Drosophila melanogaster: one gene and its partners. The protein of the gene in region 2 interacts with the protein of the main gene of each other region in a pairwise test. Each region holds a gene or a part of one and is shown on either strand. Other genes may lie near its edges.

Region 1 (3,809 bases), about 10 Mb from region 2:
CGTGTGATTCGCCACTTCAATTTTCCGACGATGGTGGCATATCGGTGGATGAAATGATGCGTACGAATCTGGTGGATGTCTTTGCGGCCGGTGATGTGTGCACGGCCAACTGGCCAGCCGCAATGCACTGGTTCCAGATGCGCCTGTGGACTCAGGCTCGCCAAATGGGCTCCATGGCGGGCAGGAGTATGGCGGCTGCCAGTGAAGGTGAAAGCGTGTACCAGGATTTCTGCTTCGAGCTCTTTGGCCACGTAACCAAACTTTTCGGATATCCTGTTGTCCTGCTGGGACGCTTTAATGGTCAGGATTTGGGCAGGGACTACGAAATTCTGGTGCGCTGCACGAGAAATAAGGAATACATCAAGTTTGTGCTTCAAAATGGCAGACTACGGGGAGCAATGCTAATCGGCAACACTGATCTCGCAGAGACCTGCGAGAACCTCATCCTGAACGGCATTGATTTGGAGCCCTATGGCGATGATATTCTTAATCCCGACATTGACATTGAAGACTATTTTGATTAGTTTATTATGCGCTAGCTTAGAGTATTAAAGACATTAAAAATAATTCGCATCTTGGAGCTAACTGCTAGGTTTGGCTTATACCTGGATTTGGTGTGGCTTTTTTTGACCGCTGTCATTTGAGCTTGCCTTCGGTGCCTGGGAATTATTCGTTTAAATGGTTGATTACATGTAGTTCTTAGGAAATGTCGAACTTTTGCAATACTCACCCACATACTTGATCTCATCGAAGGCCTTTCGTGCCTTTTTCAACTCCTCGTTCATGGTCAGAAGATCCTTCACCCTAGCGTACTTTCGGGGATCTTTGCGCACCAGGAAGATAATGTCTTCGACTTGAACACGGCCTGTTCGACCGATCTCCATTGCCCGGTGAGTGGTCTCAGCTATATACTCAATGACCAGGTCTTCCAGCAGATCTACGGTTTCCGTGTATGGATTTTTGTCGTCTCCGAATCCGAACATCATGCAGCGCAGCTCCTTGCTGAATAGGCGCTTTCGTCCTGAGTTGGTAGCCACAAATTGGTCATCCTCCGCGTCGTCATCAAAGTTGAACTAAAAATGGTGATTAGCTTAGAATCGGAGACATTGGAACTGGTGCTTATAATATTTCCTTACATCACCGCCCTCGAAATTCTCCTCTGGCATGCTATTTGAGGCCATAGTGCTCAGACTTCAATTAAAACGTTGAATTTGTATACAAATTTTGTGTTTACGCGAGTAACACCGCATTGAATGAGCATTGTAATCGATACTTGCAGCACTGCTGGCGATAATTGGTTGAGAAGGTAGCTGATACTGAGACTAACTCGAAATAGCTAGATTGCGAGCTCATATTTCAAATATCTGAGCTTGTCAACAAATCTAAATATTTTGGTTCGTGATTAAATAAATTGTGAATTTATTCAAGACCATACAAAATACATCTAAAATATATTTATATAGGTGCTTAAATTATAGCCACGAGTAAAAATCTAGCCAAACTCAACACATGGTTGCACTGCGCGATAACGCCGCCCGAACAATCGTTATCGAAGCCTTTGCTTGCACACGCATTTCAAAAATTTTTATAAACGAACACATCGTTCATTCAAAAGGGGAAAATGGAAGTGTTTACCTTTGAGAAATCGTACTTGGAGCGCCTAAAAGAAGCGGAGGCGGTGCTTTCGTGGGAGGGAGCCGTGATGCCCGCATCCCAGGTTCGATCCGAGTGGAAATCCTACGTCGAATTAAAAATTGAGCCTGCAGGTAAGCCACCCACACACACACACACACACACTCGTGCACAAAAGGCAACTATATATACATATATGTATCTATATGGGATATATAGGATGGCAGGCAATTTGGAAAATTCCACGCGTTATTTGCGAGGATCTGAAACTACGCTATCCCACCATTGTTTACGGCTACGTGGAGCAGGTGATCTTTGACGAGCTCAAGGCGGTATTTGTGGTGACCGCCGTGCAGGATAGCGATGTCCACCTGCCGGAGAGTAATGAAGTATCGCTAGTGGAGCTGTGGCCCACTGTGCAGCAGGAGAACGCAGCTCTAAATGTGGATACCACCGCTGAATGCATCGATCGTTTGCGGTTCTTCTATACGCATGTGTGGATGCCTTGGGACAAGGACTACGACGATGATCGCGACTGGGTGCAACAGCATCTGCAGGCTCGTATCCAACTAGTGTGCGATCTCAGCAAGAACCGACTGCCCCGTCCGTTGGCCCTGCACATGCGCACCCTGCTCGCCGAAGCCAAATACATTCAGCAGCGTCTGGACTACTTGGAACTGGATCTCAGTGATGCCGAGAGCGACGACGAGGCTGTGGAACTCAATGACAGCGTAGCAGAGCCCGCTAGAAAGCAATCTAAAGCGGGCAGTGCCAATGGCTGTCTCAATGTGTCCAGTCTGCCGGTTACAGATCTGATGTGCCTGCACCTGCGCATGGCCATCATAAGGAGCGAGTTCGAGATCCTTGAAAATCCTGAAATGAGGCGAGCCTACAGCGAGCTACAGTCTAATAGCCTCAAGCGGCTTCGCTGCTCCTCAGGAAGAACCAGACAATCGGAGGATCTCTTGGTAGAGCGGAATTCCATAAGCCATGTGGTAACCTTGCCGGGAAAACTGCAGCAGCAGCTGGAACTGCTAAAGCTGGCCCAGACGCTGGTCAAGCCGGAATCGAAAGTGCAGCTGTCCAATACGTTGCAGGATGTCCTGAGCATCTGTCAGAGCAACGATGATATTCTACTTTCGCCCGGCGAGCATACAATCAAATTCTTGGAGCACCTCAACGATAATGGCAGCCTAAGGGGACTCACTCAGCCGGAAGCCATACTAAGTCCTGCTGCAGATCTTTCCCTGCTGCCTGTGGTGTGCTCGAGCGATGAGGATAGCACCCTGCTGGTCATTGATGGCGACTATACCTTGTCGGAATTGGTTTTGGATTGTCGTCATGTCCGTAGAGGGATCCTGCTGCGCAACGGAACGTTGACCATGCGAGGGTGTCGCTTGCTGGGCGATGGGAGCTCCAGCACCCAAGAGGGTATTGTCTGCATGCCAGGCGCCAGCGTGGAACTCAAAAGTTGCCTAATTGAAAACTTTGCTGTGGGTGTATCGATGCGACCGAAATCTAGTGCTGAGCTGGGAAGCGTCCAGTTTAAAACATGCAAGACTGGACTGGAGTTGCTGGAGAAATCCGCTTCGGTTAATCTGCAGGGTAGCAAGTGCAGTTTTGAAAACTGTGCTTTAGGAATCCTGGCCGATGGTTTCGTATTGGGAGAGCAAAGAACAGAGAAGGTCCTGGTTCTAAACAAATTCAGCGAACTTCAGCGGTAAATGAAAATACGTTGTATTTTACATGTTCAAAAATTACCACTTATATCCTTATTTTTTAGTTACAACGAGGACAACTTGCTAGGTAATTGCAGCTTTTACAACTGCAAGAAAAATGTGCGAGTTTTTAACGAATCCGGTCAGCTGCTGGCTCAGCGATCGCATCAACAACTCCTCGAGGACGAACTCGGAGGGGAGAACAAGGAAAATATTCAATTGGTCTAGGGGTACATTGTGTACACATAGTGTTTATAAATTAAAATTTAGCGCTAACCGAAAATCCTATTGATATGCGTCAATAAATAATACGGGCAAACTCCAGTGTCTCGATGTTGCAATTTCGTTGGATGTCCTATTCTCGAAACCTTACATATTGGTTTTAACTCTTGATAAAGTTAGTTAATATATAATATTACACCGTCTCAGAGCGTCTTCCAGAAAATACTTCCTTTAACA
Region 2 (5,141 bases):
ATGGCGAAGATGGCAAGCTGACTTTCAAGTGCCCATGCTACTGCAACCTCTTCTTCGCCACCAAGGAACAGGCCACTGAGCATGCTAGGGCCCAGCACAAGGAACTGCTCTACTGCGAAAAATGCGACAAGTACATGACCGGACACGACAGCCTCAAGAACCACGAACGCAATTTCCACTCGAAGAAGGAGCCGCGCAGCCAGCAGCGCAACCTCATCTGCGACAAGTGCGGCAAGAAGTTCACCGGACGCACATCGCTCTCTGACCACGTTCGTTCTGACTGCGGCCGTCTACCGCTCTACGGCTGCAGCGTTTGCGGCAAACATTTGTCCACCGCTGGGTAATAACTATTTGTGTTTGAATGTTTATTCTAAGACTGTTAGTAACGCATCTTCCTTTCCGCAGTATTCTCAAGACGCACATGCTCCTTCACAAGGCAGACACTCCGTACCAGTGCGATAAGTGCGGCAAAACATTCAAGGTGAAGGCGCAATACAAGTCGCACTTGAAGACGCGCCACACGGACTACAAGCCGTACAAGTGCCACCTGTGTCCCAAGGAGTATCCGTACAGGGAGAGTCTGCTCACCCACATGACCGTGCACACGGGCATTAAGCGTTTCCTGTGCAATAACTGCGGCAAGCGCTTCACTTGCATCTCCAACTTGCAGGCACATCGCAAGGTGCATGCCGATACCTGCGGCCAGTTGCCTTTGAATGCCAAGGCCACCCAGTACATGGGCGTGCAGCGCGGAAAACTCTTGATGGGCGCTAAGCCGGAGGCGGGCATGGAGTACGAGGAGACCAAGACCTTGATCGCCCAGGATGTCATCGACAGGGACATGCCCATGGCACAGGAGCTCAACTTCCCATCTGACGGCTCAGCGCCATTGGCCACGGTGCCCCTGAACTACGCCTCCACACACCTGGTGCCACACATCGTACTGCAGACCATGCAAGCCGAGGCCCGGCGAATGGAGTAACTTCGGAACACATTCATTTAGCGATCCCACTCAATAAAGATTCTTTTGTAAACGGATGCGTATTCTACTGTACAACAAATGGGATGACAACTACATAATAATATCTACTTAATGACTGGATTAATTAAATAACATTGAACGTAAATAAGCTACATAAAATTGATGTAGATGAAGGTTTAACGCCATACGGACCTGTCAAAAACATTTAAGAAAAATAAATTTCCTTATAAAAACACGTTTCGGAATTTATTCGTAATAGAGAAAATTAATTATATGGGATTTGTTAAAAAAATCTTTATATTTATTTACTTTTTACTTGTTTATGTATTTTTATATTGACTAACAGCCTTACAAACTATATTTCTTAATGTCTCGACTCGCTAGTTCAGTCTGAAATAGGGCTGCTGGTATCTGCCTATGGGCATCCGATCCTTGGTCCTCAGTCGTCGCACTGCCTCTCGTATGAATTTGGGCTGCAGGGCACCGGATTCACCTTGGGCCTCCATCACGTCGAGGGCTTCCTCCACAACCTCGCCGACGAAGACCTTCGCAATGCCGGACATGGCTATCACAACATTCTGGGACACGGAACAGCCGGTGATAGTTTGCATTAGACGCTTGACGGCGGCCTTGGGAAAGGCAGAGCGACGATACATTTCGTAGCGATCCAGCTGTTCTTCCGTAAAGTTGGAAACGAGAACCCTGGAGTGGAATAAAATAGTTTTTATAGGATTACCCCTTCGAATCGCTTTAAGCTAACTTACTGCATTCGTTCGCGCTCCTCCTCCTCCAGTTCCTTCTTCGTCTTGAGCTTTTTGTGCGCCGGCTCGCCAGAGTCACCATCTCCGTCCGTGTTCTTGTTGTCGTTGTCCCCATCCGCATCCTTGCCATCACGATCCGCATCGTTTCCCGGATCCGAGGTGTCGCTGTCCTTCCGCTCGCCGGAGGCCGACTGGAAGAATTTCAGGTCGACATCGTCGCCGTCGCTTAGGGAGTTGCTTTTTTGCTGCGTGGGAAAGAGGATTTCGTCCATTTAAATGAAATTTGAAAAGCACCAGCGAATAATAAACAAAATCAACCAGGGATGGAGTTGCACCATATTCGCTTTTTGCAACACTCAAAAGTTCCGCACCACATAATAGATGAATATAATTCAAAATATCGGATTAAATATATTAAAGGTATATCATAGTTGTTTATAAGGTGGCTTTGAGATTTTAATAAATAATAAATATATAAATATACAATATTCGATAAACTTTTATTTTTGTAGTGTTTTTTTTTTCTTCAAATTAGTGCTCAAAGTCAAATTATGTAAATTTCAAATTGAACATTCACTGGTTCCGATAGTCCACAGCACGTTTTACAGCACTGGCCTCTGACACCTCGTGTTTTTGTTCTTTTCTCCGCATCGCCATCGCCAGGCAAGAGTGCGCGCTACATTTTCGTTTATTTCATCGTTCAGCCAGCAACCAAGGCACTGCGAAATGTCTGCAACCGAGACTCTGAATGTGGAGGCGGCAACGCCCGAGATCGGCGAGGAGGTCAAGAAACAAAAGAAGCCCAAGCCGAACAACAAGAAGCTCCGCCAAGGTGAGTGACCTCATGCGAGCAGTGCACTGTGGTAATTGCATTTGCACGACCCTCTCCGCCTCAACCACCCACCACCCACTGAACTAACCACTTGCCCACAGAAGCGGCAGCCAAAATAGCCTCCGGAGAAGGCGGCGACGAGGAGCTGACCACAAACGGAGATGCCAAACCGGCAACACCGGCCGCTCAGCCGGCAAAGAAGAAGGGGAACAAGGGCAAGAAAAGCGGTCAGACTGATCCGCCCACCATACCCATTGCTAAGCTTTATCCGGACGGCAACTTCCCCGAGGGCGAGATCGTGGAGCACCCCACGCCCAAGGATATGCCCGACGATCGTACGGCCAAGGACCGATTCACATCGGAGGAGAAGCGTGCTCTGGACCGTATCAACACGGACATCTACCAGGAATTGCGCCAGGCGGCTGAGGCCCATCGTCAGACGCGTCAGTATATGCAGCGCTACATTAAGCCGGGCATGACCATGATCCAAATCTGCGAGGAGCTGGAGAACACTGCTCGGCGCCTGATCGGCGAAAATGGTCTGGAGGCTGGTTTGGCCTTCCCGACTGGTTGCTCTCTTAACCATTGCGCCGCCCACTACACGCCCAATGCCGGAGACCCCACTGTACTGCAGTACGACGATGTGTGCAAGATTGATTTTGGTACCCATATCAAGGGGCGGATCATTGATTGCGCCTTCACCCTGACCTTCAACAACAAGTACGACAAGTTGCTGCAGGCCGTCAAGGAGGCCACCAACACGGGCATCAGAGAGGCGGGCATCGATGTGCGCCTATGCGACATCGGCGCCGCTATCCAGGAGGTCATGGAGTCGTACGAGATCGAGTTGGACGGCAAAACATATCCCATCAAGGCGATTCGCAACTTAAATGGACACTCCATCAGCCCGTACCGTAAGCAAAAATCTATTTATTATAAATATTTTAAATATGCTTATGCTTTCCTTAATATTTTTTGTTTAAATTTATTGTGATTTGTGCAAACACTTAATGAAGTCTAAAATTAAATTCTCAGGCATTCATGCTGGAAAAACGGTGCCCATTGTGAAAGGCGGAGAGTCCACTCGCATGGAGGAGGATGAATTCTACGCCATTGAGACGTTCGGCTCGACGGGTCGCGGTCTGGTCCATGACGATATGGACTGCTCGCATTACATGAAGAACTTTGATCTGCCGTTTGTGCCGCTGCGCCTGCAGTCATCCAAGCAGCTGCTTGGCACCATCAACAAAAACTTCGGCACCCTGGCCTTCTGCAAGCGTTGGCTGGACCGCGCCGGTGCCACGAAGTACCAGATGGCTCTCAAGGATCTGTGCGACAAGGGCATTGTGGAGGCTTATCCGCCGTTGTGCGACATTAAGGGCTGCTACACGGCTCAGTACGAACACACAATTATGCTGCGACCCACCTGCAAAGAAGTCGTTTCCCGTGGCGACGACTACTAGTGGGATGAGGAACTGGACAGTGACCGATTTTCGGCGATGTATGGCTTGCATTATATACGGTTTTTGATATAAGTTCATTCTATTGTTGATTTTTTGTGAGCATGCGCCAACCGAATTATATATACAATGTATTATGCTCAGAATATAAGCGGAGTGAGATTATTTTCGAAGTTGTTCTTGTCTTGGCAGATTGCTACGGAGCTCACGCCAGTAAAGTGAATAGTTGTGATTGATAGGCTCCTTATCTAATAAGAATGACCTGTATATGTAGACAAATCCTTTGCCTGTAAGATAGTACAGGATCTCTATGTAACTGACTATGCTGAAACCGTACATAAGCGAGAGAATGCCTCCAAAGCGATCTAAAGGGTTAGTTAATATTTTTTAACTACTCGTCTTAGTTATTTACTGTACTCACTTAGCAGAACAACCCAACTGCTAACCATTTGAGATTTTGTGGCTTGGGCAAAGCGCAGTTTAAAGAAAAGCTTTATAATGGCTAATGGTCGCTCGTTGGTCAATCCCTTTCTAAAATATTCGATATTCATTATTTATCAAAGAAATTGTGGTACATCACTTACAGCAACCCGGTAAAGTAACCACTGCTATTATAAGTCCGTCTCAAAGGAGCCACGTTGGTGGTGATACTCATGCTAACTCCGTTGCAGGTGGGCAAACAGTGCTCGCACTGCCTCTGGACCAAGTTCTCTTCCTTGTTCTGCAGGTAGGCGAAGTCACTGTAGCCATACCAAATGCTCTTCCATCTCATTAGGCATGGAAGATCGGGAAGCATACAATAGTCGAGATCCATGGAACTGCCGGTCAAGGGCGGAGATACACAGCCGCAATGATCGATCATGCTCTTCATGCGGCATACCAGAAGGCACTCGTCCAGGGAGTAGTACGATCTGTAGGAACGATGTTCACCAGGTATTCCGCGGATTGGTTTCTAATTACTTACTGGTTCAGCAACCGCATGCCTTCTTCGGGATAGTAACAACGTCGTATATGTGGCGGGACTCCGCGAACCCCATCGCCTGAACTAAAAAACATCGGCTGGATGGGAATCTCCACTATGCTGTAGTGATCCACCAGCACCTCTC
Region 3 (3,965 bases), 5.2 Mb from region 2:
GACATTCTTTAAGCGTAGTTAAATCATATATGGAAAAGCCCGCAAATCCATAGCTTTGCTTACTTCTGCAAAATGTGGAGAGCCAAACGAAGAAAATAGTAATGAAAACATAAACAAATTAAAATGCTGCCAGAGCTGCCGCCGCTTGAGGCATTCGAGCGTGCCCCGCGAAGGTTAAGCCAATGGGCTGGGTCTCGCGATTATTAAGGAGCGCATTAATTGGAACTTCGTTGGAGCGTCGGACAGCGGGAAGTTAAAAGTTTTGGAAGGTCGGTGCGTCAATGGGAGGCGGCGGAGCTTACTGCGCTTTCAGCCAACAGCTGTGTGAGTTCAATTATGCACATTCTTTTCGTTCTGCCAGCAGATTTGCGCCTGAAGAGCAGCTGTCTAGATGTGCATCGTGATTTGAGAATTATGGCTAAAAGTTCAGGGTCAAAGTGGGTTAAACACCTGGGTTTTCTATGCACCCGCCAAGGCAGCTTGTAATTTGTAAAACTTCGCGTGTGTCTAATTAATAATTAGATGTAATGCCAAGCTCTTCAATGGAAAATCAATGGAATGCAACGAATTTGAATTCAAATTTGGCGCCAAGCTAATGTGGTTTAGGTCTTGACTTAACGCGTTACATTTGGTATTTTACCAACTATACACTGCGACCACACACATCAGCTGGTCGAAATATTTTCGCAAGTGCAGTTTCACTATTTTATTTACTTTACTTAAAAATAGTTTTTAAAACTGCTGATTAATCATGGAAATTCCGGATACCTACTACAGCAAAGATGAATACGTAGAGACGGCAAGTATTCGCACTGACTTCCGCTTTGGGATTCCATTTAAGCACTAAGAGATGACCTCATCATGACCAAAAAACTGATTGTTTACAGGCTTCGGGTAACAAAGTTAGTCGCCACACGGTGCTCTGTGGTTCCCAAAACATTATTTTGAACGGCAAGGTGATCGTACAGAGCGGCGCCATCATTCGCGGCGATCTGGCCAATGTCCGGACGGGAAGATATTGTGTGATTGGCAAGAACTCCGTCATCCGACCGCCGTACAAACAATTCAGCAAGGGAATCGCCTTCTTTCCCATGCACGTCGGTGAGCATGTTTTCGTTGGCGAAGGAGCAGTCGTCTCGGCGGCCACCATTGGATCCTATGTGTACATCGGCAAGAATGCCATCATAGTAAGCTATTACTTATTGTTATACCCTTGTAATCCATTTACTTTTACCATCTTTCAGGGCCGTCGCTGTGTTTTGAAAGACTGCTGTGTAATTGAGGATGGGGCTGTCCTGCCGCCAGAAACTACCGTGTCCAGCTACATGCGTTACACGGCGAGGGGAACCATCGAGGGTGGCCAGGGCAATCCGTATTTTGTGCCCGCCGCCATGCAGGACGAGATGATCAACTACACTAAGTCATTCTACGAGCATTTCGTGAGGGCTCCAGCGCCAGCCAGCTGAAAATCGTGGTGTCTACCAATTCCATCGACAGAAAACATTATTTATGAAATAAACATATTATATTAGTTATTCTATAAGTATGCGCATAGTTTGACTATTAAGTGATTAATCTATCAGTCCCGTTTCGCAGTCGTAGGCTTCCTCGCCGGACTCGAAAATGGGAAAACTCATGCCAGTACGACGGGCAATCACCGAGGCCAGTTCCTCGGAGTTGTTCTCCTTGCGCGGCTGGATGTATCGGTCCAGCAGAAGGACCGTGGCCGTATTCCGACAATTGGACACAGTGGCGGTTATGTGAAGCGGCGTCTGCTTGCCGTCCGATTCCGCATTTACATCGGCGCCAAACTGCAGCAGCAAATGGGCGCAATCCGCATTGTTCCACTTGCAGGCGGAGTGCAATGGCGTCCATCCCAGCTCCGTGCGGGCGTTGGGATTGGCATGGTACTGCAGCAGCAACTTGGCCATATCCACAAAGTTATTATAGGCAGCTCGGTGCAGCGGCGTGTATCCGTCGTTATCCTTGGCGTTCACGGTGTCTGCGTCCAGTTTTAGGATTTCCCGCACCTCGCTGATGCGGTTCTCGTTCACCGCCCACAGAATCATGCGTTCAATGCTGCCTATGATGATGTTTAATTAAACTATTTCTCTAAAATGTATTCTACTTACTTTGTGGGTTCTTGTCCTCTTCGATCAGTTCGTCGGCATCGTCGTCCCAGCCGCTCACGAACATTCCGCGCGGCACTTTGGCGTGGCGCAGCTTCTCCACCTGTGATTTTTCATCATCGGAATCGTAGTCCCCCATTTTGTGGTAATATATTAATAATAAGCCGGAATTTAAACAGCTCAACTTTTTGTTTTCTATTTCTCAAAGTGACCGTTGCTTAGCCGCTTAAGTACACTTAAAAAAATACTAAACACTTAAAAATATACTAAACGAAGAGTGGAGTTTTAAAAAGAACAGTACATTTGGTTTTTCAAATAAAAAAAAAAAAACTATTTATATAAATAATGGTAGGAATTATAAAAAAATTATTCTTTTATTTGAAAAGTCTGCCATTTAAAAAAAGGCTGTATTATTTATAATATTCATCAAAATCAAATTAATCAAAGATTATTAAGCCATTAAATTTGTGTTGAATACATAAATGATATACATCATTTTATATCATCATTTATATATTTTATTTTTAGCTATATATGCTTTATATAGTTCATTTCAATCAATTAATGATTTCATTTATTTACAAAAACAATAATTTTTCGATTACATTTTTCTGTTAGCAGTAAACGGCCACTCTAGCACACTATACTAGTAAATCCGAGAAAAACATCTGCTTCCAAGTTTGTTTGTTTGTTTGTTCCTTGAAACCAGGACGCCATGTCGAATCCGCAGGAAGAACTACTGCCGCCCAGCGCCGAGGACGACGAGCTGACCCTGCCACGGGCCAGCATCAACAAGATCATCAAGGAGCTGGTGCCCACGGTGCGGGTGGCCAACGAGAGTCGCGAGCTGATACTCAACTGCTGCTCAGAGTTCATTCATCTGATCAGTTCGGAGGCCAACGAGGTGTGCAACATGCGCAACAAGAAGACGATAAACGCAGAGCACGTCCTGGAGGCGTTGGAACGCTTGGGTTTTCACGACTACAAACAAGAGGCGGAGGCCGTTCTGCACGACTGCAAGGAGGTGGCAGCCAAGCGAAGGCGCCAGAGCACGCGCCTAGAGAACCTGGGCATTCCGGAGGAGGAGCTGCTGCGCCAGCAGCAGGAGCTGTTCGCCAAGGCACGCGAGGAGCAGGCGCGCGAGGAGCAGCAGCAGTGGATGAGCATGCAAGCGGCAGCAATGGTGCAGCGACCACCGCTGGCAGACGGCTCCGTTGCCAGCAAGCCAAGTGAGGATGACGATGACGATGACGACGACGACTACTAGTAGGAAATAGTCTTTCTATGAGCTTAGTGTAGATTTAATCTTAAAATATATGCCATAAGTTGAACTTTCAACTATTAGCTACTCTTCATTACGGATCATCCGTTTGTCCTTCACTCCAGCAGCCTGGGCACCGCATCCTCAATCTCCGAAACGACTTCCTTAGATGTATCGTAACTTTAATCTTTAAAAATGCAAGACTATTCGTTATTATATCAGCTGGTACCAGCCAGATTTTGTGGCTCCTCCGCCTCATTGTCATCCTTGCCATTTATTTGCATCTCCACCAATCGGGGAAAAGTTTGTGGTGCGTCGTATGTGCCTGGCACATATTTTCCCAATATTTCGGTGTGTTCCTTCCAGAACTGCGAAGATATCAGATCCTCGTGCAGCGGCACCACGGCCTGCCTGCTCTTCTCACCCAATATCACGCGTTTTCTCAGCAGAATCGTTCCCTTTCTGTACATTGCCGGCAGATTGTTGTAATTTATCCCGAATTCCTGGAAGAGCAGCTCATTTTTGTCCGCCGAAAAGGTGCCACGGAGTTTCGCCTCGGCTTGCTGGTTCGTCAG

Evidence for each region. Proteins that work in one complex are often made in the same cells at the same time.
Region 1: the proteins of Taf11 (region 2) and Taf13 interact in a two-hybrid assay, tested with the Drosophila melanogaster proteins (2 studies listed by BioGRID).
Region 3: the proteins of Taf11 (region 2) and NC2beta interact in binary tests that used the Drosophila melanogaster proteins (3 or more experiments, as listed by UniProt).

The regions. Positions count from the first base shown.
Region 1 is NT_033779.5:20,092,588-20,096,396, forward strand, and holds Taf13 (TBP-associated factor 13), read right to left. Parts: upstream 1,263-3,809; 5' UTR 1,182-1,262; coding exon 1,137-1,181; intron 1,074-1,136; coding exon 731-1,073; intron 660-730; coding exon 637-659; 3' UTR 525-636; downstream 1-524. Other genes in the region: Pyroxd1 (pyridine nucleotide-disulfide oxidoreductase domain 1), read left to right, coding at 1-524; nesd (nessun dorma), read left to right, coding at 1,622-1,766, 1,852-3,352, 3,416-3,578.
Region 2 is NT_033779.5:9,761,160-9,766,300, forward strand, and holds Taf11 (TBP-associated factor 11), read right to left. Parts: upstream 2,104-5,141; 5' UTR 2,016-2,103; coding exon 1,747-2,015; intron 1,685-1,746; coding exon 1,363-1,684; 3' UTR 1,265-1,362; downstream 1-1,264. Other genes in the region: zf30C (zinc finger protein 30C), read left to right, coding at 1-340, 406-982; und (uninitiated), read left to right, coding at 2,470-2,575, 2,677-3,489, 3,611-4,038; ppk18 (pickpocket 18), read right to left, coding at 4,198-4,400, 4,457-4,566, 4,620-4,946, 5,000-5,141. UniProt on the Drosophila melanogaster protein: The TFIID basal transcription factor complex plays a major role in the initiation of RNA polymerase II (Pol II)-dependent transcription.
Region 3 is NT_033779.5:15,005,074-15,009,038, forward strand, and holds NC2beta (negative cofactor 2beta), read left to right. Parts: upstream 1-2,739; 5' UTR 2,740-2,844; coding exon 2,845-3,396; 3' UTR 3,397-3,465; downstream 3,466-3,965. Other genes in the region: DCTN5-p25 (dynactin 5, p25 subunit), read left to right, coding at 752-799, 888-1,187, 1,245-1,466; Ankrd49, read right to left, coding at 1,572-2,083, 2,133-2,268; THG (tRNA-histidine guanylyltransferase), read right to left, coding at 3,609-3,965. UniProt on the Drosophila melanogaster protein: Bifunctional basic transcription factor. Activates transcription of DPE (Downstream Promoter Element) containing promoters while repressing transcription of promoters which contain TATA elements.